2 linked regions of the Macaca fascicularis genome follow. The protein of the gene in region 1 interacts with the protein of each later gene in a pairwise test. Links are inferred from orthologs where the notes say so. Each region holds a gene or a part of one and is shown in the gene's direction. Other genes may lie near its edges.

Region 1 (12,027 bases):
GTCAGCGTCTGCACTGGACAGTCTCTGAGGCACCGTCCGGCCCGAGCAGCCTGCTGCTGGGGCTCTACTGTGCTCAGTGAGCCTGGCTGCCCCTTCAGACGGAGCAGGGCACTGGAGTTGGCTTAAAGCAGGTCTCTTTGTTTCTTCTTTTCTTTAAATTGCCTGCACTTGAGTAACCTTTATCGCACAGGGCAGGAATCTCAAAGGGGCAAAAAGACAGTCTCTTGTTTCTCCTCGGAATACTCTGTGCAGAGACCAGCATTTTCTTTCCTTTTTTTTTTTGAGACAGGGTCTCACTCTGTTGCCCAGTGGCACAGTCATGGCTCACTGCAGCTCAGACGATCCTCTCACCTCAGCCTCCCAGGTAACTGGGACTGCAGGCACGCACCGCCACACCCACTACATTTTTGTTTTGTTTTATTTTTTGTAGAGACGGGATTTTTGTCATGTTGCCCAAGCTAGTATTGAACTCCTGAGCTCAAGTGATCCACCTACTCCGGCCTCCCAAAGTGCTGGGATTACAGGCATGTGCTGCGCTATCACGCCTGGCTAATTTTTGTATTTTTAGTCGAGACAGGGTTTCACCATGTTGGCCAGGCTGGTCTCAAACTCCTGACCTCAAGTGATCCTCCTGCCTTGGCCTCCCAAAGTGCTGGGATTACAGGCGTGAGCCACCTCGCCTGGTCTGACCAGCATTTTCTTTCTCACACTGCTGTCCTCCTGCTGCTCTTGGCTCTTCCTGTCCCTGGGAGGCCGCTCCTCACATCCTGCTGAGGACCTGCAGGATCCTCACCAATTGCATGTGCCAGCCTTTTGATTCTATAAACCCTGGGCCTCAGTTTCCCCATCTGCAGCATGGAGATCACATTAGTCCCTGCCTCAAGGGGTTGCTGAGAGGATCAAATGAGATGTAATGAAAGTAATTTGCATAGGCCAGGAGCATAGTAGGTGCTCACTAAATGTTAGTGGGTGTTATAGTGTGGGGGTGAGCCGCTCAGTGTGGAATTTCTGGGTGCAGAAGAATGGACATTTTGATGGTCATGGGGCATGGAGGACCCAGACCGGTGAGGTCTGGCCATGGGAGGCCAGGCCGTACCATGATGCCCGTAGCCACCTGCTGTGGGCCCCCTGTCTTTCACACGCCTTGTGCCCAGGCCACTCTGCCCAGGGTCCTCCCGTGTTGCCGCCTTCTCTCCTCAGCGAAGCCCACGCCTCTGGCCCTTCCCTATGTCCTTCCCTCCAAATCACAAGTGGTTCCATGTTGCAGGCGGGCCATGGTTGTCTCTGCTGGGCTGTGGGCATCGGGCGGGAGGACCCTCTGGCAGCCATGGGTGCCCCTGTGCAGCTTAGCACCTGGCCTCCCACTGGACGTTAGGGGTGCTCACGAGCCATACCGGTCCGGAGCATCACTGGGGAGGGGGCACTGCCAGGTAGGTAGGCTGGGGGTCTCCAGTGCTCTGCAGGTGAAGAAGTCCCTGTAGGGTGGAGAGGTGGGGAGGGTGTGAGGCCCTAGAGGCCAGGCCCTGACCAGGTGGCCTCGCACAGCCGGGCAGAAGCAGGGCAGGGCTTTGGAAGGCAGAGCCTTGGTCACTCCTCCTCACCCTAGCCTGCTGCACTCCTACGAGGTGAGGATAGAGAAGGTAGGGCCTGCAGTGGCCATATGTGAGGCCAGATGGGACAGCCTGGGCCTGGCATGGAGCAGGCGCTTGGGTAGATGGGAGGACCTTCTCCTTGTCCTGCATCCTCTCCAGAGCCTGAGACAGGGGCCCCAGGACCTCAGGGCAAGGGGCCCTGCCTGAAGGTGCATGGCCACCCCCTACTGCCTGCAGGTGCTTGGCAGTGGCGCATGCAGCGCCTCAGGACCTCTGATGGCACCTGTCCTGGGCACAGGGGCCAGCGTCTGGCAGATCGCAGCCAAACGCATTCACTGTCGAGGTACATCTGCCCACGCAAAAGCCTGCGCCCACTTCTCAGGGCCTCAGTTTCCCCGTGCCGTGGAGTGGGCTGGCTTCGTTGCTGTCCCTCTGAGGGACCCTGCGGAATAGAGGTGGCCTGGGGCAGGGCGGCGCCTCTTGCTGTTCACATCTCCCAGCCCCTGTGGCTCCTTCTCTGGCGGGCCCAGCACTTCTACAGTGGAACAGGGACCTCCTGGAACATCCAGAAGTCAGGCGAGGGCAGTGAACTAGGAGCAGGGGTTACTTCTGTCGTCGGAAACCTGGTGATGCTCCTTCACGTGGCGCGGTGTGGCGTGGTGTGGCGTGGCGTGGTGTGGCGTGGCGTGGCATGGCGTGGCGCGGCGTGGCGTGGCGTGGTGTGGCGTGGCGTGGCGTGGCGTAGCGTGGCGTGGTGTGGCGTGGCGTGGCGTGGTGTGGCGTGGTGTGGCACGGCGTGGGGGCTGTCTTTATGAGTGGAGGCAGAGCAGAGGCTGTGAGGAGGGGTTGTCACCTTGCCCCTGTGGGTGACCGTTAGAGGGCCACACAGCTCAGTCTCCCCAGGCCCAGGATGGAAGGAGCAGCCGAAGTGGGGTCCCTGCCCTCAGGCTGTTGCTGTTTGGATGTTGGAGCCGGGCAGACCTGCCTTTACGGCCAGTCCTCACCAGATGCCCACCGTGTGGCCTCTCTGAGTCGCCTCTTCTCCCGTATGCTTGGTACAACAGATACGTGAACCTCCCCTGCTCCCTCGTGGAGTCACTGAGAAGGTGGACAGGGATGGTCTGGGGCTGAGGGTGGTGTTATCTCTGGAGCTGTGCACTCCCAGATGGCCCCATCTAATCTCCACGCACCAGGCATTGCTACGGCATGGCGCTGATAACCCCGGGAGGTTGGTCTGTAGTCTCCGCTTCACATATGTCCAGAGAGGTGAAGCCACTTGCCTGAGGGCACACAGCAGGGAAGGGGCAGGGTTGCAGTTGAGCCCAGGCCTTGGCTCCAGAGCGTTTGTTCGCAGGTGATCTGCAGACTGGCTGGCTGAGATGGTAACACAGAACGGCCACCTACGGGACTCCACAGCAGAGAAACCAGCAGGCCACAGGGAGAGCCGGTCACTGGGGCCTGAGCGGTCAGGCAGCCTCTCCGAACTGGTGAAAGGCAAGACCATGTGGCAGCTGGGACGGTCGCAGGGAAGAGCATTTCAGGCAGAGGGAAGGGCATGCGCGAAGGCCCTGCGATGGGAAAGCAGGTGTCTCATTCAGAGAAGGGCTCACTCAAGGGTCGGGTCTCTAGTGGGGGGTGAGTGGGAGGAGATAGGGCAGAGCTGCCGCGGCCAGTGAGAGTTGTGTCCTAGTCTGGGGGCACCTCTCTTTACCTGTGGTGTAGCCTCAGGTCAGTGGCTGAATTCTGGTCAGTTTCCGTTTCCTCATCCCTGCCTGGGGGCTGCTTTGAGGCTAGAGTATGTGGAGGACACCCCAGGACACCCCGTGCTGGGAACCGGGACAGGCGGGCTTGTCATGGGTTGCCAGTGGCCGCCGAGAGCCTCTGTTTGTTGTGGTGACGGTCGCCACAATGGCTGCACCTGGGCAGCCCTGGGCTGCCTGGCCATCTGGGCCCAGCTCTGACGTCTGTGGCAGCCTGAGGCCTGTTTCTGGGCTGTCTCCATGACGGCCTCACCCACTCCGTCTGACAGCTGGGTGGCTTCCCTGTGGAGCCTGCGGCCCTCCTGATGCAAGTCCGGTGTCCCCAACAGGCAGGTGGATGCAGAGGCCAGGCCATATACCCCCCAGGCCTGTGAGGAGCGTGGTCCCCACCCATCCAGCCCATATGTGCAAGTGCCCTTGACAGGTGGGGAAACTGAGGCTTGGTGAAAGGGGGGCACATGATACAACATCCCCAAATCCCAGGGCGTGAGGTGGGTGGCAGGCTGGGCCAGAGGGACCAAGAGCAGAGAAAGTGCAGGGAGGGTGTGGCGTGGACCCCACAGGAAAAGGATGGGACTGCAAGGGGCTGGGCAAGGTCAAGGCCCAGGGTCTCTGTGCAGAGCTTTCATTTTTAACAGAAAATATTTTATATTCTGATCACAAAAAACCTGACATCAGGAATAAAAGCTATCTGTAATTCTCATTACCTAGGGCAGTTTTTTTTTTTTTTTTTTTTTTTCCACCTCTGCAGAGAGGCTGGTCATATCCATGGTGACCATTTATGGGCCACAACAGGTCCCCATCTGCGCAGTGAACCCTGTGCTGAGCACCTTGCAGACGTGGTTTTGCTTCGTCCTGCAGCACCGTGCGGGGCAGGTGGGTGGCATTTCTGCCTCGAGCTGTTTTGTACATGAGGAACCCAAGGTGCAGAGGAGGGCACCACGCCAGGATCGCAGAGCTGGGGTTTACTATGGCTGCCCTATGCCAAGCCCAGAGCCCCCTGAAGTTCAGAGCCTTTGGCCCAGAGGCAGGATAGAAGTGGTCTCGGGAGCTGCTGGCCCTGTGTGCCATGGTTTCTCCTGTGAGAGTGTGCTGAGCCTCTGCGTCTCCAGACTCTGTTGCCGTTTCTTGTTAAGCATGAGACTTGGACCTGTCCTTCAGCCTCAGGGAGGGCTCCCTGGGGCAGGGGTGCTGTGAGCCGTGGCCTGGCCTGTGGGGGTCTCCAAGTCAACAAACTCAGGAGGGACTGTAGCCAGAACCCTGACTTGCTGCACAGCCTGGGGCAAGTGGCTTCACCTCTCTGAGCCTGTTCGCCAGGTAAAGTGAGGTTGAGAGCCCCTCCCTGTGGGGCTGTGGGAGCATCTGGAGTCACAGATGAGAAGGGCCCTGCCTGTGGCCAGTGCTGTGGCTCTGACAGACTCGCCGTGAGACCCGTGCAGTCCCGGACAGCCAGGGTGTTGCTGCATCTTAAAATGAGTTAAAAAGCCTCACACAGGAGTAGTGACTAGGCAATTGATTCACCGGGTGAGCGGTTAGCAGGCAGGCACCCAGTGCATGTGGCGGCAGCTGCCGCTGCTGCCTCTGTCTGTGGATGCCTTTGTTTCCTGAAGCCTCTGGGGCCTGGCAGCAGGGTCCCCGGGGCGGCTTTGGTGGAAAGGCTGCAGGTATCTGCTTGCCTGGCCCCTGCACTCTGCCCACCTGCCCCAGGATGGACCCTGGGACCCCTGTCCCCGCCGAGGCTATTCTGTTTCCTGTTGATCTGGCCTTGTCTTCCTAGTGGCGGTAACCACCCTTTGCCCTCCGTCCGGGCCGGGTTGGCTGCTGGGCCCCAGTGCGTGGCTCTCAGATGGGGCCACAAGTCTGCGTTGCACTGTGGCCAAGGCTGGATCTGGACCTGACTTGGAGGCGGCTTCAGAGACTGGGGTCTTCTTGGCAGGTGGCAGCAGGGCCATGGGCAGTTTCCAGGCCCCAGTGCCAGCAGCCAGGCTGAGCCAGCAGCAGTGAGTGGGAGGTGGTGGGTGAGGGCCAAGGTGTGGCAGGACCATGCTTGGGAAATGGGGCAGAAGCTCCCGCAAGGGCAGGAATGTGGCCAGCATGTCTGTACTGGGTGGTCTCGGGGAGCTGTGTCACTCCCAGCCCTGCTGCCTGATGGTGCCAGAGCGCCCGGTGACCCTGCCATCTCTGATCCTTGCTTCTCCTGCCTGTGGAATGGCGGCTATGCCTTCTTCAAAGGGCAGCCCTGACTACAGGGAGCTCCCTCTGCATGCCAGCCCCACTGTGCCTGGAGCCCCAGAAATGCTGACCCTCCGTTAGTACCAGCTGAGTGCTGTGCACCTGGCCATGCTCCTGCAGCCAGCCTGAGAGGTGTGGACACTGGGACCTCTCACCTGCCCCCAGGGGTGGAGTGAGGAAGGTACTGCCCCAGGACTGTGGCCTGCCCAGTGCAGGGGAGGGGAGAGAGCCAGCACTTTTCAGGGGAGGGAGAGAAACGGGCATCAGGTGTTGGCCTCCAGGGTGAGCAGGGCCCGGCAGAGCTAGCCTGCAGGGCAGCCTGGGCTGGAGTCCCCGCTTGCTCCACCGCCTGTTGCCCTCTCTGGGGTCCTGGCCTTCCTCATCTTGGAGGTAGTGTGAGCCTCATCCTGCTACCTGCGGCCACGAGGCCCCTGCACAGTGGCTGCTGCGGGTGCTGGCTGGACCCCTGCTGGGCCCCTCTCACCCCACGTCCCGTTGGCTAGTCAGGCAGGGCAGTGAGGACACCTCACAGATGGGGAAACTGAGGCCCAGGGAGGTACTCAAGATGTGCCCAGTGGGCAGGGCTGAGATAAGGCCCTGGGCTCCAGCCTCTAGGCCTGGGTCTGTCCTGCTCTTTTCCCCTGCAGGGCTGGTGGGCCTCCTTCCTCCCTTTGAACGCCTCACGGTCTGGCTTGGAGAGAGGGGGCTCCCGGCAAGGGTGATCGCAGAGGCTGGCATCCTTGTGGGCCAGGGCCTGAGTCATCCCTGTCTCCATCTTTGCCCAGCCCAAGGGGAGTGCAGGGGACATTGATGACTGAGGGATAGGCCAGAAGCCTCACCTTCTCTCCATTCTAGGAAAATCCAAGAGGAAGAAGGATCTACGGATATCCTGCATGTCCAAGCCACCCGCGCCTAACCCCACGTGAGTCTGCCTCAGTTTCTCCCTGGCTCACCCTGGAGAGGCTTCCCGAACAGGGCTCAGTGGAAGGAGTGAGAGGCAGGTGGGGCCAGCTCTGCTTTGCCTCGTCCTGTCCTGGGCAGCACCTGCTGTGGGTCCAGCTAGGTGACAGCTGCTGGGGTTCATGCAGCACCATCTGCTCTGCTCTGCTCACTTCTCACCCCGTCTTGGAGGCTCGATGAGGCCGTGCCCAGCTCATGTAGATGCTCAGCAGCCAATGAGAGGAGGTGGTCCGAGGAGGTGCCTCCGGGGCAGGATATACCTGGTTCCCACGCCAGGCCCCACACTGGCCCATCTGCTGCTGCTCTTGGAGGAAGGGTGTGGTTCTCTCTGAAGCTCATGGAGCCTTCTTTCTCCACAGACCCCCCCGGAACCTGGACTCCCGGACCTTCATCACCATTGGAGACAGAGTAGGTGCCAGCCGCCACCCCTGCAGGGCCTCTCACTTCAACTGACGAGTGGGTAGAGCTGACCCTGCAGGGTCACTATGAGGGGAGGTGACTGAGGGGTCAGAGAGGGTCAGGCTGTGGAGAAGAGTGTTGTCCTGTGCTGCTGGCTGTGTGGCCCTGGGCCACCCACCCTTTGACCCTGCTGGAGGGAATGAGGACCATTGGCTGCCTGTCTGGAGCTTGGTGAGCTCAGAGCTGGTAGGAAGGTTTCTGAGCTGAGAGCACAGCCCTGCACCTCATCCTAGCCCTAGCGGAGAGTACTGAACGTGCAGGCTCCTAGGCCTCCCTGGACCTGCTGGATCATTCCCTCAGGCCAGCACCTAGGAAACCTGCATTTTCTGCTTCCAGAAGCCTCGGAAGGGCACTAGCCATTGAGAATCCTGTCTCAGGGACCGTGTTATGCCCAGGTCCTCCCAACAGAAACCCTACTCCCAGGCCAGGTGCAGTGACTGACACCTATAATCCCAGCACTTTGGGAGGCTGAGGCAGGAGGAGGATCACTTGAGCTCGGGAACTCGGGACCAGGCCTGGGCAACATGGCGAAACCCTGTCTGTACAAAAATACAAAAAACTGGTCAGTGTGGTGGTGCATGCCTGTGGTCCTGGCTACTTGAGAGGCTGAGGTGGGAGGATCGCTTGAGCCCAGGAGGTGGAGGTTGCAGTGAGCCATGATCATGCCACTACCCTTCAGCCTGAGTGACAGAGTGAGACCCCGTTTCAAAAAAAAAAAAAAAAGAGCTGGGCGCGGTGGCTCACACCTGTAATCCAAGCACTTTGGGAGGCCGAGGCGGGCAGATCACCTGAGGTCAGGAGTTCAAGACCAGCCTAGCTAACATGGTGAAACCCTGTCTCTACTAAAATACAAAAATTACCCCAGTGTGGTGGCAGGCGCCTGTAATCCCAGCTATTCAGGAGGCTGAGACAGAATCGCTTGAACCCAGGAGGTGGAGGTTGCAATGAGCCGAGATCACCCCATTGTACTCCAGCCTGGGTGACAAGAGTGACACTCTGTCTAAAACAAATAAAAGAAACCCCACTTCCTAGGCCTGTCCTTGACGATGCCCCCTCCAGGCTGTCGCACCCCCGACACTCACCACCTGCTGTCCTGTTCATCTACTTGCTTGTTCCTTTTTGTGTCCCTCCCAAGAGAGGGACACATTTGTGAAGGCAAGACTTGTTTTGTTGTCACTGTGTCCCCAGTGCCTAAAACACATTGTGGGTGCTTGGTAAACAGTTTTTGAATGACTGACTCATTCCATTCCAGCTGAGTGGAGTTGGGGAAAGAGGGACAGGGCCCCTCTTTCTCAGAGCTCTGCCTGCTGGCGGGGCATTTCATGGGTGTCTTAGTCACACTCCAGAGCCGCCTTGGGGTGTTGGCACTGTGCCTATTTTATAGAGGGCAACGTGAGGCTCAGAGAGGTTAAGTGACTTGCTGAGGGTCACACAGCAGGGAGTGGTGGGTATGAGGTTTGAGCCCAGATCTAACCAGCTGGTCCTCTTCATGCTGCCTAGCTATCTCCACTGGGTGAGAGGTGAGGACTGGCTTCCAGCTTGGTGGCCACTGACTCTCTCTCTTTTCCATCCCTCAAGAACTTTGAGGTGGAGGCTGATGACTTGGTGACCATCTCGGAACTGGGCCGTGGAGCCTATGGGGTGGTGGAGAAGGTGCGGCACGCCCAGAGCGGCACCATCATGGCCGTGAAGGTGAGCAGGGCCTGGAGGCACCTGGGAGGGCTCCCTGGAGGAGGCGAGCTGAGCCCTGCCATGGGGCCCTGCCTGTCCCTCTCAGTGACCAGTACCGAGCCCAGGCTTTTTGGGGCACACTAGGCAGTGGCCCTCTGAGCTCCTGGTCCTCCTGTCATGAGTGGGGGTGTTGGCCTCTGCCACAGCAACCTCTGAACGGCAGTCCTTCCCTGCAGCGGATCCGGGCCACTGTGAACTCACAGGAGCAGAAGCGGCTGCTCATGGACCTGGACATCAACATGCGCACGGTCGACTGCTTCTACACTGTCACCTTCTACGGGGCACTGTTCAGAGAGGTGTGTCCTCGCGTGGTACAGCTGGGGAGCTCCACCTCCCACCCATCAGTCGCCTGCAACCCACTGTCACTCAGTCCCTCCAGTGTGCCAGGTGCTGGGGACACGGGGAGCCACCCGGGGCCAGCACGGCTCCCAGAGGCACCAGCCCTGCCAGACCACCGGGCTCCCCCACCTCCTGGCTGTTACTGTCCTGCTTGGTGCCTCGGTTTCCTTATCTGTCAAATGAGGCTAGTGGTTGTGGGTGCCTCCTAAAGTTGACACGGAAGTTAAATGACATGGCCTGGGGCCTGGCATTCGGCTGCACTCAGTTCTGCCTGTGTGACCATTCGCATCCCCATGGCATACGGGGCGTGGGGTGCCTGAGCAGGCAGTGGCCATGGAGATATGAGATCTGGGTTCTAGGTTTGTGGGCAGCATGGGGTGTGTGCTGAGGGAGTGACTGAGCTGGAAGGGTGGAGCTGCCTTCCGCCAAGCCGGGTGGGTGTGGGTGAGCAGGGAGCCTGGGAGCCTGGGCGATGCTGGGCTCATACTGGTCGCTTGCCCCTCAAGGAGCTGTGGCAAGGTCAGGGCATCTGAGTCCAGCAATCGGGCACGGTCAGGGCTGCCTCACCTGGCCTCACTCTTCACTCATGAAGAGCTCAGCATCCCCTGTGCCAGCTCCTAGCCAATGGGGCCCCTACAGCCTGTGGGTGCCCCGTGCGCATCTCCTAACTTTCCTGTCAGGAGGGTCCTCAGGAGTTCACTGGGGAAGAGGGAGCTGGTCCTTGCAGGCAGGGAGCCATCTGCCAGGGTCAGCGGGCATGAAGGTGTCTGTCGGTCCACAGGGCCGGCTGTTGCCGTGGAGCTGGTGCGGGTGCATCCTGAGGCTCTGGTGGAGGGACCCAGTGAGGCTCTGTGCTAATCCCCCTCCTCCCTGGAGACACCTGGAATTAGGGATTAGATGGAGGAGGCTGGCACCCGAACCTGGCAGTGCAGGCAGAGCTGGAGGGTGGGGAGATGTGGGCAAGTGGAGGGTGGGGAGAAGCGGGCAAGTGGGGGGTGGGTGGGAGCCCGGTGAACTGTGGCTGAGTGGGTGGGCACACATTGAGGAGGGGGCTGGGGCTGGTGCTGGGGCAGGCAGTGTAGGTGGTGCCGACACAGGCAGCCCGGCAGCCTGGCTGAGCTCTGGGTGTCACCCACAGGGAGACGTGTGGATCTGCATGGAGCTCATGGACACATCCCTGGACAAGTTCTACCGGAAGGTGCTGGATAAAAACATGACAATTCCAGAGGACATCCTCGGGGAGATTGCTGTGTCTGTGAGTGGCCTGGGTGCGCTGGGGGTCCCAGGTGCATAGGCAGAGGCCCAGCCCTTCCAGCAGGCATGGAGCCTGCCAGATACTGGTGTCTTGGGCAGAGCTGGGCATCAGTGTGCCCCCTGAGCCTGGGCAGCTGCCCTGCATAGGCCCTTCTCCTCCACCCCACACCAGAGCCTTCACGCTTAGGAGACCTCAGCTCCTTGGGCTCCTGGAGCCCCACAGATTTGGCAGATCCAGGTGTCTGAGCCATTGATTCCAACTCTTGAGTTCCAGACCATTTTTTTTAAAAAAAGGAATTTAGTATTTACAACAGCATCATACTGAAAATGCCCCGGGGCAGCTCACAGAGGTACAAGCTAAGTTGAGGGAAAGGTTAGCATCCAAAATGTGTGCTTTTTGAGTCTCAAAAGTCCTTGAGGGAGGGCAGCAACACTGGGCTTGAGCATCCCAGTAGCCAAAGGAAAAAGGAAAATAGAACTAGTGACACTGGTTCAATCCTCACTGCATCTGGAAACGTTTACAATATATGCTTGCCTCAGGCTCCCCACCCAGCCTTCCCAAGGGAAATGGCTCCAAGCTGCTAGAATACTGGCTCTGCCACGGGAGGGAAGATGGGACAGGAAGGCTGCCAAGAGCTGGCTTTTACCCAAGAAGAGCCTGGCAGGCAGTGATGATGATGGCTCCCTGGGAGGTGAGCCTGGGAGGGTGAGAGGAGGCAGGAGGCTGAGTGTGTCCACACAGGGATTGTTAGGATGCTGAGGCAAATGCCAGGACAGGGCAGGAGGCTGGGGTGAGGAGGTGCCTAGCCTGTGCAGCGGGAGCAGGAGACAGGTGGACATGGATGGGGTCTTACTGCTGTCGTTGTTGACATGACCAGCAATAACAGAGTCCTGTCTCTTCCCTCCTCCCCACCCCACCGCCAGATCGTGCGGGCTCTGGAGCATCTGCACAGCAAGCTGTCGGTGATCCACAGAGGTCAGTACCCGGCAGCCACCCAGGCACGGTGCAGCCAGTGGGAGGGATCCCAGGCCAAGGCGGGTAGACGTCTCCCTATGAGCAACTGAGGCTCAGAGAGGTGATAAGTTGTGACGTGCCCAATGGGGTCCCAGCCGCTTTCCACCTGCAGCCCTGCAGCTGCCTCCCCTCATGTTTGCTGGTGTTCGAAGCAAGGACTAGTTTTACCTTTGTCCTGAGAAAGGTGGACCGGGTTCTGTTCTAACGTATAGTTTACAAATCGTGAAATTCCAGCACAGAGTACGTATAATCACGTTCACACCCATGCAACCACCTCCCTGCAAGATGCAGGATAATTCCCTTACCCCAGCCCAAAATGTTCTCTTGGGCCCCTTCTCTGCCATCCCTCATGTGCCTAAGGCAGCCACAAGTCTGGTTTTCCCATGGTGGGTTGGTTTCGCCCTTTCTGGAACATCAGCCTCACTAGCTTGATGTTTCTGGACCCATCCGGGTCTGGTGTGGTGTCGGTTTGTTCCTTTTTGCTGCTGAGCCCAAGTCTATTTTTCCAGATTTACGGCTTTTCAAAAAATGAATTAGGCTTAGTTCCCATTGACCACTGGGTGCCCATCCCAGCCTCCACCTCCAGGTCACTGTGGTTGGCGTTTGGCACGGAACCTTCTGGTCCTTTTTATGTGCATTTCCATCTTTACACACATCCCCATGGAGGGCACGCGGATGCGAGTGT
Region 2 (12,027 bases), on another chromosome or scaffold:
TGCTTGAGCCCAAGAGTTCAAGGATACAAATGAGCTATGATTGTGCCAGTACACTCCAGCCTGGACAACAGTGCAAGACCCTGTTTCATAAATAAATTAAAAAACCCCCAAAACCCAGGATGCAATGAAGAAGGAAGCCCAAACCCACCAAAACCAAGATGGCGATGAAGGTGACCTCTGGTCATCCTCACTACCCATTATATGCTAATTATAATGCATTAGCATGTTAAAAGATACCATCAGCACCATGACAGTTTGCAAATGTCATATCAATGACAGGAAGTTACCATATATGGTGGAAAAAGGAAGGAACCTTCAGTTCTGGGAATTTCCTCCCTGTTTCTGGGAAAACTCATGAATAATGCACCCTTTGTTTAGCATAAAATCAAGAAATAACCATAAGTATACTCAGTTAAGCAGCTCGTGTGGCTGCTCTGCCTATGGAGTAGCCACCCTTTTTGATTCCTTTACTTTCGTAATAAATTTGCTTGAATTCCTTCCTGGGTAAAGCCAAGAACCCATGTGGCCTCCCACGGGGATCTTCAATTTTGGGATTCACCCTGTGACTTTAGGAGCAACTTAGGGATCCAGTACATCCCAGGCCAAGACTAACGTGGTGATTTTCGGGGGGCTATGTTAAAACTAGGGGCTCTGCCCAGGACCCTTACTGTGGCTTCTTCAGTCAAGAACTTACTGGCCCCAGCCCCTACAAGTTCATTCACAGTTCCTTCTCACTGACTTCACCAGTGACCACTACCAGTGACTTCAAAGGAGAAATGACGGGGGAGATAAAATAAAGTGAATGGGGAAGAAATAAAGAAGAGAGGTCTTTTCACGGTGTGCCAGAATAGTCCCTCACAGTGGTTTTACCGTAGGGCAGCGGGGGCCCCCTTTTAATTTCTTTCTCTCTTTTAATTTTCTTTTCCCTTCCCTCCTTTCTTCTTTCCCACTTTTTGCCTTATTTGTGTCTTACGGACGGTCAATTTCCATCCTTTCTCTACTTCTTCATTCCCAGATTTGGCTGTAGAAAATTAGAAAGTTCTTGAACTTGGTTTGCACAGGTGCTTTTACCTTAACATGAAAATGAATGATCAGCCTCCTGTTAATTTTATCCTAGAGTCTACTGCATCCCTCCTACCCCCTGCACAGGAATTTAGTCACACTTATCTCTCCCACTTTCTCTCCCTTCTTCACTTTCTGTATTCCTCCTCCTTTCATGCCTGTACCTGGTTTTCCATGCCCTGTTTAGCCTGGCTTGGGATCCAGCAGGTTCTCCGAGGGTTCCTGCGAGAACCCGGGCTGGGTGCTCAGGTCTGAGCCTGGTATGTGCCTCAGTATCACAAAGGCCTCTTGTAAATGACCTCCATTGTTGAAAGTTTCGGAAATTCTAGGTCAAAATGGCACTTAAATATTAAGGTATTTACTCCAACCCAAGTAACTTTTCTAAAAGTTGTAGAGGGTGTTACCTCTTTATTAATCGAAACGTGAAAATCAGCTCTAGTTTGGAAACTGAGAAAATATATATATATATGTATTTATTTCTTTGTTGTTCTAATTCTTGATATAAAGGTTTAAAGGACCCTTGAAAGCTGCATGCAATCACAGAAGGTTTTGGCTTTAGGCAGCTCCCGCCATGATCTTGGGGCTCCATTGATTCTTTCATCTTTCAGGTGTCTTACTGTTTGAACCTTGAATTTTAACCTGGGACATGTTTGACTAAAATGATGCTGTTAATATTTTCTATTGTGCAAAACACAAAGAGAACTAGGCTCCAGGATTATTTCTATTTGCTAATGCTGTTTCTGTTGACTTTTGACTTTTCCAGTTTCCCAGAGCTATGGGGACTTCCCATCCGGCGTTCCTGGTCTTAGGCTGTCTTCTCACAGGTACGGAGCCCAGTCCTCTCTGAGTTCCTTGTTTGGGTGTCTTGTTTTCTAAGCTTTGTGCTCCATGGGTTTATTACCAGTACTCCACATGCACAGTCCAAAAGAATGAAATGAAATAGAAAACTACAGGACGTTATCCAGAATGACCACAAACCTTCAGTTCCCTTTGCTGTATTGCACTTACTCCATTTCAAAAGGAATGCTCTCTAGTGGCAGTTTTAGTAATATATATAATGTTGGCATTGAAATGTTGTTAGTAATAATGTCTAAATTTACTTACTCTTCCTTTTCCTAGGACAAGTCTTCTATTAGAGCTAGATTAGATAAATTCAGGAATGGTCAACTGTGGGAGGTAGCACATCTGTTGTCCCAGCTCCTTGAGCAGCCGAGGTGGGAGGATCCCTTAAGGCAAGGAGTTCCAGGTTGCAGTGCACTGTGATTATGCCTGTGACTAGCTACCACACTCCAGCCTGGGCACCATAGCAAGACCTCATTTAAAAAAATGTTTAAAGAAAATAAATAATAGAAAATTCTTGCCCAAGAAATCATACCTGTCTTAAATCATAACTCTCCTGATGAAAGATGCTTACATTGCTTCCAAATCTCAGAGTCACCTTTATCTTCTCTAGGAATCAAATTGATAGATAAATGTTTGGTTCTTGGAAAATCTTAAAAACTTTCCCACCAAAAGGATGCCATTGGGGTAATTTGTTGATGTACTGGACTTTCTTAGTTTTCCTCCAGATATTTATGCACTGCAGATGTTTGCCATGGAACCAGTGCTCTTCTATTCTGAGGAGTTAGCTCAGCCCGTTAGTGTCTTTGTCTTACTCATTTGGATATGGTAGAATTGAGCAAGACCAGAGATTTAACAGATGTAAGCTCCACTAAGTATACCCCATCTACAGAGTAACAGGTGATCCAGATGTGCTTACAAATCCTACCTTAACAAGTTTCAGGAATTATGGTGGTCATATATTGAAGTTGGGTGGGAGTCTCACATCAGGCTCCAAGGGAGATTACAAATCATTAATTAATAATTAAGTCAAAATATCTCTTCTATCTGTCTTGGGTTTCTTGTTTTCTAAGTTCTGTGCTCCATGGGTTTATTATCTGTACTCTGCATACACAGTCCAAAAGAGTGAAAAGAAGTAGAAAACTGCAGGACGTTATCCAGAATGACCGCAAACCTTCAATTCCTTTGCTATATCACATTTACTCTATTTCAAAAGGAGTAAGTTCAGTTTCAGTCTAAATAAGCGAGACTGAAATTTGAGGTTCAAAGATGAACTGAGAGTTTTCACTCGGGTTTTACTTACTAATTGTGAATTAAAATCCATATCATCTGGCACCACTGCACTCCAGCCTGGGTGACAGAGCAAGACTCCATCTCATAAAAACAAATAAATATATAAACAAATAAATAAATCCACATCATCCTGCTTTGGCCCTGGAAGTCATGAGGGAGAGACAGCATGCCCAAGGGCTATAAGAAATGGAAAATGTGGAATTCTTGAGCACAGATGTGCTTTGTGTTTTGTTCAGTCCATATCCTTGCCTCTGTTCTCATTCCATGTATTTTGTTTTGTTTTGTTTTGTTTTTTTGAGACAAGGTCTCTCGCTCTATTGCCCAGGCTGGAGTGCAGAGGCTCATTGCAGCCTCAATCTCCTGGGCTCCAGTGATCCTCTTACCTCAGCCTCTGGAGTAGCTGGGACTACAGGTGTTCACCAGCACACCTGGCTAATTTTTTTATTTTTTATTTTTTGTGGAGACCAGGTCTCACTATGTTGCCCAGGCTGGTCTCAAACTCCTGAACTCAAGCGATCCTCCCACTTCCACCTCCCAAAGTGCAGGGATTACAGACATGAGCTGCTGCGCCCCAGCCTCATCTCATTTTAACTAAGGGAAACCTCCGCAGTGACTGTGAACCATAAAGAACCCATATGTGCCTGAGCCTGTGCCATCTTGGGATATTTTATGGTTACACATAAGAGTCTGAAATATGGAATTGGAATCAGACATCCTCTGTCCATTTGAGTGTTTGGAGGAGTGAATCTAGTGGGGCTTGGTAGAGCTATCTGGAACATTTGCTGCTCTCAGCAGATGCAGTAGCTGTTATAATGGGGGACCTTTCATGGGCATCCAGGCTAACGGATTTTTGTGTAGAAATGGTCATTGTTCATCTAAGCTGCTACTGTTGCTTCTCTCAGTTCTCGGGATGAGACCGTCCTTTCTGGTTGCATCCTATTCAGAGCGTGTTTCCTTTTGCAGGGCTGAGCCTAATCCTCTGCCAGCTTTCGTTACCCTCTATCCTTCCAAATGAAAATGAAAAGGTTGTGCAGCTGAATTCATCCTTTTCTCTGAGATGCTTTGGGGAGAGTGAAGTGAGCTGGCAGTACCCCATGTCTGAAGAAGAGAACTCTGATGTGGAAATCAGAAATGAAGAAAACAACAGTGGCCTTTTTGTGACAGTCTTGGAAGTGAGCAGTGCCTCGGCGGCCCACACAGGGCTGTACACTTGCTATTACAACCACACTCAGACAGAAGAGAATGAGCTTGAAGGCAGGCACATTTACATCTATGTGCCAGGTGAGTGGGATGGGTCCCCAGGACCGAGCTTCTTCTCTTCCTGTCTTTCCTGTTAAATGTACTAAGGTTTTAAACATATATATAAATAATTAATATTTATTGCAGGAAGTTTGAAAGATGTAAGCGAACACACAGAAATAAAAATCATTTGTAATATTATCAAGAAATATTCATTGTTAGCATTTCAGAGCTGTATTAAGTTTGGAAAGTCATCTTTGTTATGACATGTCCTGTATTGGTACTGTATAAACAATCTGAAATATACTCATCTCTATTCAGTTCATTCAAGTTGCACACATACTCACAGTGTGTCCAGCACTGGGCTACGTGTTGAGTATACAAAAATTAATAGGTAAGCCCGGTCTTGGAGTTGCTGATAGTTCATTATAATATCTTCCAAATAAACACTCGATTTTTCAGATTCACTATCAATATACATTTATTCTGAGAGTTGGAAGGTATTTTCTTTTTCCTTTTAAAAAGTTATATATATATATATATATATATTTTGAAACAGGGTCTCACTCTGTTGCCCAGGCTGGAATGCAGTGGCATGATCATGGCTTACTGCAACCTCAACTCCCCTGGTTCAAGCGATCCTCCCACTTCAGCCTCCCAAGTAGCTGGGATTACAGGCATGCACCACCACGCCTGGCTAATTTTTATATTTAAAAAATTTTTGTGTGTGTGTATTTTCATTTGAGACAGGGGTTTCACCATATTGACCAGGCTGGTCTTGAACTCCTGACCTTAAGTAATCTATCTGCTTCGGCCTCCCAAAATGCTGGGATTACAGGCGTGAGCCACTATGCCGAAATTTTTGTATTTTTTTTGTAGAGATAGGGTTTCACTGTGTGGCCCAGGCTGGTCTCGAACTCCTGGGCTCAAGTGAGCCCCACCCACCTCAGCCTTCCAAAGTTCTGGGGTTACGGGCGTGAGCCACTGGGCCCGGCCTACTCCTACATTTTAATTAAAAGGACAAAGGATTGAACACAAGTGGTGGCAATTTCAGTATGCAGTTGGGTAAATTAAAAAGGACTGTGGCTAGAATCCTTGGTTTTAGAACAAAACAGAAACCGCTTAGGATTCTTGCCATCCTTGCCGTTTTGGCATAGGTCGAGGAAGGGGGTTCTCACAGAAGTGTGTCTTCCTACCTTTCTGCCTTTTCTTTTTCAGTTTTTAATGGGCTCCTCTTCCTACCCTCTGTAACTATGGGTGTCCCCAGGGACCTAGACCCTCTTTACTTCTTTCATGATACTCTTATTCATATGAGCCTTCCTTCTTAACAATTAAGGAAAAAATAAACAACTTTGTTTTGAAAAGGTAAGACATTTAGAATGTCACCCCAACTTCATTCACACTTAGATTCCTTCAGGAAAATCCTCTAGGTGTGGAGGGATTTTCCCCTGCTGTGAAGAGAATGGTAGGATCGTGAATATGTTAAAGGCACACAAGTCCCTGGTTTTAATCCGTGTAAGATTGTCCAAAAATTCTTCTTGTTCCCTATCTTTTTCCAGCACAGACGCCATCCAAGTAGCCCCTGCATCGCTGTCTGACAGAGATCTTTTGATTTCACAATAATGGAGATTTAGGGGCCTTTTCTGCAGCTGATGTTTGAGACTCTTAGAACTTCTTACCACCGTAGCTTAAGTAGCTGTTTTTCTTTTGGAAAGGAAATTCTCAGGCTCCTTCTCCTTCTCCTTCTTTAAATTTTATGTATTTCTCAAAGGATTACTTTTTAACAAACACATTTCTGTGCTACTTTTCAATCGTACTGACTACAGGTGATAAGAGTTTTTTGAAAGTATTTCATAATAAAACTAGAAATATTTTTTCCTGTTTTGAACAGAGTTGGACTCTATTAAATATTTTATTGTTCATTTTTGTTTTTAGTTGTTTAAATTTTGATTTAGATTCCTGGTTAGTATTTATTTATTTATTTGTAGAGACAGGGTCTCTCTATGTTGCCCAGCCTGGTCTCAAACTCCTGAACACAAGCAACCCTCCCACCTTGGCTTCCCAAAGTGCTGGGATTAAAGGCATGAGCCACAACTCTTATCCATTATTAATATTTATCATCAGTATTATCCATCAGGAGACAAGCAATTTGACATTATTCACACTTAAAAATCACTTTGTAGCTGTCATGATAACTAATGCCAGTGGGGCAATTCTTCTGGATATATGTGTAAAGGTGAACTTCATACCTAATATCAATACTGCCAGTGGGATAGTGTTTCTGGATTTATGTGTAAAGGTGAAATTAATGTCTAATGGAGTCTTCATTCTTTTTTAAACCACAGACCCAGATGTAGCCTTTGTACCTCTAGGAATGACGGATTATTTAGTCATCGTGGAGGACGATGATTCTGCCATCATACCTTGTCGCACAACTGATCCTGAGACTCCTGTAACTTTACACAACAGTGAGGGGGTGGTACCTGCCTCCTACAACAGCAGACAGGGCTTTAATGGGACCTTCACTGTAGGGCCCTATATCTGTGAGGCCACCGTCAAAGGAAAGAAGTTCCAGACCATCCCATTTAACGTTTATGCTTTAAAAGGTACTCATATCATCTCCTTCCTTCTTTAAATAAGAGTAACAGGCATAATCATCAGGTGCATGTATGATTTTTTTTTAAAATCATCACCACTGGTGATCCTAAATTCTGATTTGGGGATTTAGGACCCCAGCTAATACAGTGTCAAGGTGACCTCTATGGCTATAATAATAAGCTTAAAATTACTAAAGGCTAAAGCTTGATTACTCATGCAAGATTTCATGTTTCATCAGTTGACTTCAAAATACTGTAAGGAATTCTTTTCTTATATAAGCCTCTTACTTTCATTCACATTCCTGACTACGGAGGCCCTAAAACAAGCATACACCTCGGGGGTTAGATTCCTAGATTAATTTAGTAACTTAAGGAAAATGATTTCAATTCTGAAGAAAGTAGTTGTAGACTTCAACCCTTTGATGTCCACAGTTAGTACGCTTGGGGAAGTATAATACATGCTGAGGTCAACAGATATTTCCTGACCACTATTCTATGTGGAGGAATGGGTAGCAGCAAGAGTACACTGTTTGAAAATCAGAGCACAGCTAATTTTGTGCCAGGCACTGTGCTGGGTTCTGGGAAAGTACTGAGAATAACTGAGGAGCAGAGTGGAAGAGAAGAAGAGAAGAAAAAATTGGATAGAAACAAAGTGTCTAGAGCAGTGTGGATCATCAAAGGTTGGTTGATTAAATGAATAAGTATGTCAGTCAAGGTGATGGTAGACGAGTATAACCATAACTAACGCACTGCTGAGGAATGCAGTGATTGGAATTTATTTTTATTGTTATTATTTTATAATTCTGTATTATAACTATACACCTAATTGTTGTACACCATCTCAAAATCAAGCCTTGTGAGATTTTCTAAATTTTATCTTGATCAGGGCTTTTATTCATAATTGGTTCACAAATTATTTTTCAGGGTTTTCTTAAAAAAACAAAAAACAACACCACCACCCAAACTTTATAAGATCCTTACTATCCTATGGATTTTTAGGCCCTTGTATTTGTTCTTTTTTATAGCAACATCAGAGCTGGATCTAGAAATGGAAGCTCTTAAAACCGTGTATAAGTCAGGGGAAACGATTGTGGTCACCTGTGCTGTTTTTAACAATGAGGTGGTTGACCTTCAGTGGACTTACCCTGGAGAAGTGGTAGGTACCCTCAAAATGTGCAATGGCTTGGAGCAGAGCAGCAGGGCTCAGAAGACCTGCATTTGTGCTGGGTCTGTCACTGATGGGCACATCACTGAGTTTCTCTAGACCTTAGCTTCCCACCTCTATGATGAACACATTTGATTAAAAAGCCTTTAGGGCTCCTTGATCAATGGGCGAGTTTGAAACGACAGTTGCTGGACCAGGGCCTTCAGAATACATAAAGAGTGTGCACTAAGCCTTCTTTCTCAGAAGTCAGACAGAAATAGGAAGGTTCTCTGGCTACAAAATATCAACCAAAAAATTAGAAGAGCAAAAAAACCGCTGGATTTTACTATTGCGGAGAGTCATTAATTGTCATTGTCTTGGCTTCTGTGCTTCTGACGGTTGATTCATTTGATAGTGTTTATTGCCTGCACTCCTTCCTGTTCTGCCTTGTTGACACTGAGGACAGTGTGTCTTCCTGTTCCACCTCCTATGTGCCTGACCTTTGCATGGCTCACGTTCAGTGAACAGTCACTATGTAATCATTCAACAAAGGTTTAATGATGTTTTACTCAATCTCAAGCACCGTACCAGAAGCTGGTCCAATATTGCCGGATGAAGGGAGGAGGGGAGATGGAAGTGGGGAAAGGGAGCCACCATGCTGCCTCTTGGTCACTGGAGATTTACACAGAGTCTCAGTCATTCGAATGCATTGTCACTAAGTAAGAGAGGCATGTGTAAGAGGCTATGAATGCCCAAATGCAGGAATGACTAACATTCTTATGGAGAACAAAAACCAGATATATATATTTCTTCCCTCTTCTCCTGACTTGTAAATTTCTGCTCCCTGTTCTTTTAGGCATTTGACAGCTTTCTGTCCTTCTATCCATTGATCTCCCTCCTTATATACATTTCTCTCTCCCATGCATTTGCCACTGCTTTTCATTCGTCCTGGAGCATCTGATTGGAAGGTGGGCATTTTCACTATTGCCTCATAAACTTCACATGGTAAAGGGACATTTACAGTCCAACAAATGTACATCTTCCCTGAAATATGGAGTGATTTGGTTCTTCTGTTCACACTTGATTGCCATTAATCCCTAACACATAAACACTGCTTTTTATTTATAGGATACAGTATTTTTTTCCCAAACCAAAGTACATGCTATTTGGCTTACAAATATATAATCAAAGTATTGTTTCATACAATATGTTTTTTTCTGATTGTAAAAGTAATGCAGGTTTAATGCAGATACTTTGTAAAATACAGAGAGACAAAGGAAAGGCTACTTCCCAGAGCATCGCTGTTTATATTTTAGGGAGATAAAACTTTTATTTTTTATTTGTCTTTCTTTCGGTTTTTTTTTTTCTTCTTCTTCTTCTTTTTTTTTTTTGTAGAGATGAAGGTCTCACTACATTGCCCAGGCTGGTCTCGAATTCCTGGACTTAAGTGATCCTCCTACCTTGGCCTTTCAAAGTGTTGGGATTACACATGTGAGCCTCTGAGATTGACTGAGATAAAGTTTTTAAATATTTCTTATCCATAGATAAACATTGAATAATTAATAGGTGTTATTCTTTAAACAGTAGTTTGTTACATTCTTTATCCTTCAGCAGTATAGCACAAACACCTTATATGTGTCATTAACTATCCTTTTAAAAAATTGGCTGGGTGTGGTAGCTCATGCCTGTAATCCCAATACTTTGGGAGGCCGAGGCAGGAGGGTCACTTGAGGCCAGGAGTTTGAGATCAGCCTGGGCAATGTATCGAGACTCTGTCTTTACAAAAATGTTTTAAAAATTAGCCAGGCGTGGTGGCATGAGCCTGTAGCCTCAGCTACTCTGGAGACCAAGGTAGGAGGATCGCTTGAGCTCAGGAGGTTGAGGCTTCAGTGAGCCATGATTGTGCCACTGCACTCCAGCCTGGGCAGCAGAGCGAGATTCTGTCTCTAGAAAAATTAAAAACAAAATAAAAAATCTCATGATTTTCTAAGCAGCTAGCTTTTTTTCTTTAGGTTTTATCTTTTAGAGCAGTTTTAGGTTTACAGCAAAATTGAGTGAGAGGTACAGAGATTTCCCACGTGTTTCCTGCTCCCACACATGCATAGCCTCCCCGCTTGTCAACATCCCTGCCATCCATTTGCTACAACTGATAAACCTCCATTGACACATCATATCACCCAGAGTCCATAGTCTACCTTAGAGTTCACTCCTAGGAGCGAGCTTTTTAAAAGTCGGTTTTCTTCCCCTTTTGCTGTAGAAAGGCAAAGGCATCACAATGCTGGAAGAAATCAAAGTCCCATCCATCAAATTGGTGTATACTTTGACGGTCCCCGAGGCCACGGTGAAAGACAGTGGAGATTACGAATGTGCTGCCCGCCAGGCTACCAGGGAGGTCAAAGAAATGAAGAGAGTCACTATTTCTGTCCATGGTACATTCCGCTTTCTAAAATGTCAGTCGTCCATGCTGCTCGGGATCCATATGTGGTAATCTTTATTTAATGGAAACTCTTCCCTGTACAGAGAAAGGGTTCATTGAAATCAAACCCACCTTTAGCCAGTTGGAAGCTGTCAACCTGCATGAAGTCAAACATTTTGTCGTAGAGGTGCAGGCCTACCCACCTCCCAGGATATCCTGGCTGAAAAACAATCTGACTCTGATTGAAAACCTCACGGAGATCACCACTGATGTGGAAAAGATTCAGGAAATAAGGTAAAGAAACACTCTGCCCAAGTATGCCTTTTTTTAGTGTGCATCAGAGGTGGACTGAGGTTTGTGTGTGTCTTACAACCCAGACCCAAAGTCATTCTAGAAAATGTAGCAATCTGAGTTCAGAGATGCTTGAAATCACATCCCTTTAATGATAACATTGCAATATGGTATTCGTATGCTGGTAAGTATTTAATGAGAAGATGAGAAGAAAGAACTAAAAGCTCTGGCTCCTGGGGAAAGACAGGTCACTGTATTCAGCTAGGGTGGAAGAAAGGAAGTAAAATCGGACTCACCAGGATTGAATAGATTGAATACATTCCCTGATGTTCATCATCCATATTGCAAGTAGACATGTATGGTGATTACACCCATGAGGTAGTTATCACATCACCTTACGTGAAAGTTAACATCGTAGGCTTAATCTGGAACCCATTTGCCCTAACTGAGGACTCCACAGGAAAGAAGAGTAGAGCCTGGCTGACTTTAGTAAGGAAAGAGATGTGCAGTGAATCACTTGGATCCCTGCCTTTTAATCAGAATGGTCGATTGCTCTCATCTCTTAACTGGTGGTGGTGTTTTGAGTGAGTCACCCTCAGCCACAGTTTCCTGATCTACAATGTAGGGTAAACAATACCTTATGTCCTTCGAGGCAAGGAATTGGATCAGATGATATCATGGGGCTTCTTGAGGTTTTAAGCTGTGATTAGAATCCAAGAGTCAGAAGGTACATCCTGCAGCACCCAGCTAACCAGCCCTATACTTTTGTCAGAAATCATCTCAGAAAGACAAAGTCAGTCCTCTATTTCAAGCCTTCAGGAGGAGGAAGAACAGAGCCTTTCTCATCAGTTCAGTTCACCTCATGATTTGCTTTCTTCTTTCTGAACTAAATTCCACGTGTAATTGAGAAGCAGTCTGAGAAAATGGAATTTTACAATCTCTATAGAATAGTAAAGGAAAAATGAAGTGGGGTACTGAATCTGGTAGGCTTTCTGTTGACACAAAATGAAGGTGCACAACAAGGAGGGCAGCTTTCCATAAGGAACTTCCATGAGGCTGTGCAGCCAGAGAGGAGTAGGGTAACACTGGTACAGCTAACACCTCCAACACATGTGTGAGCATTGTCTGCAAGCCATAATCCACAG

Evidence for each region.
Region 2: the proteins of MAP2K3 (region 1) and PDGFRA come close enough for resonance energy transfer, tested with the Homo sapiens proteins (2 studies listed by BioGRID). The link is inferred for Macaca fascicularis from reciprocal best matches to the Homo sapiens genes MAP2K3 and PDGFRA.

Annotation. Positions count from the first base shown.
Region 1 is NC_088390.1:20,721,527-20,733,553, forward strand, and holds part of MAP2K3 (dual specificity mitogen-activated protein kinase kinase 3), read left to right. Parts: intron 1-4,103; exon of another isoform or gene 4,104-4,228; intron 4,229-6,439; coding exon 6,440-6,506; intron 6,507-6,903; coding exon 6,904-6,952; intron 6,953-8,581; coding exon 8,582-8,695; intron 8,696-8,910; coding exon 8,911-9,030; intron 9,031-10,211; coding exon 10,212-10,328; intron 10,329-11,251; coding exon 11,252-11,303; intron 11,304-12,027. UniProt on the Homo sapiens protein: Dual specificity kinase. Is activated by cytokines and environmental stress in vivo. Catalyzes the concomitant phosphorylation of a threonine and a tyrosine residue in the MAP kinase p38.
Region 2 is NC_088379.1:79,629,611-79,641,637, reverse strand, and holds part of PDGFRA (platelet-derived growth factor receptor alpha), read left to right. Parts: intron 1-1,825; 5' UTR 1,826-1,837; coding exon 1,838-1,886; intron 1,887-4,158; coding exon 4,159-4,476; intron 4,477-6,779; coding exon 6,780-7,040; intron 7,041-8,056; coding exon 8,057-8,187; intron 8,188-10,432; coding exon 10,433-10,604; intron 10,605-10,695; coding exon 10,696-10,885; intron 10,886-12,027. UniProt on the Homo sapiens protein: Tyrosine-protein kinase that acts as a cell-surface receptor for PDGFA, PDGFB and PDGFC and plays an essential role in the regulation of embryonic development, cell proliferation, survival and chemotaxis.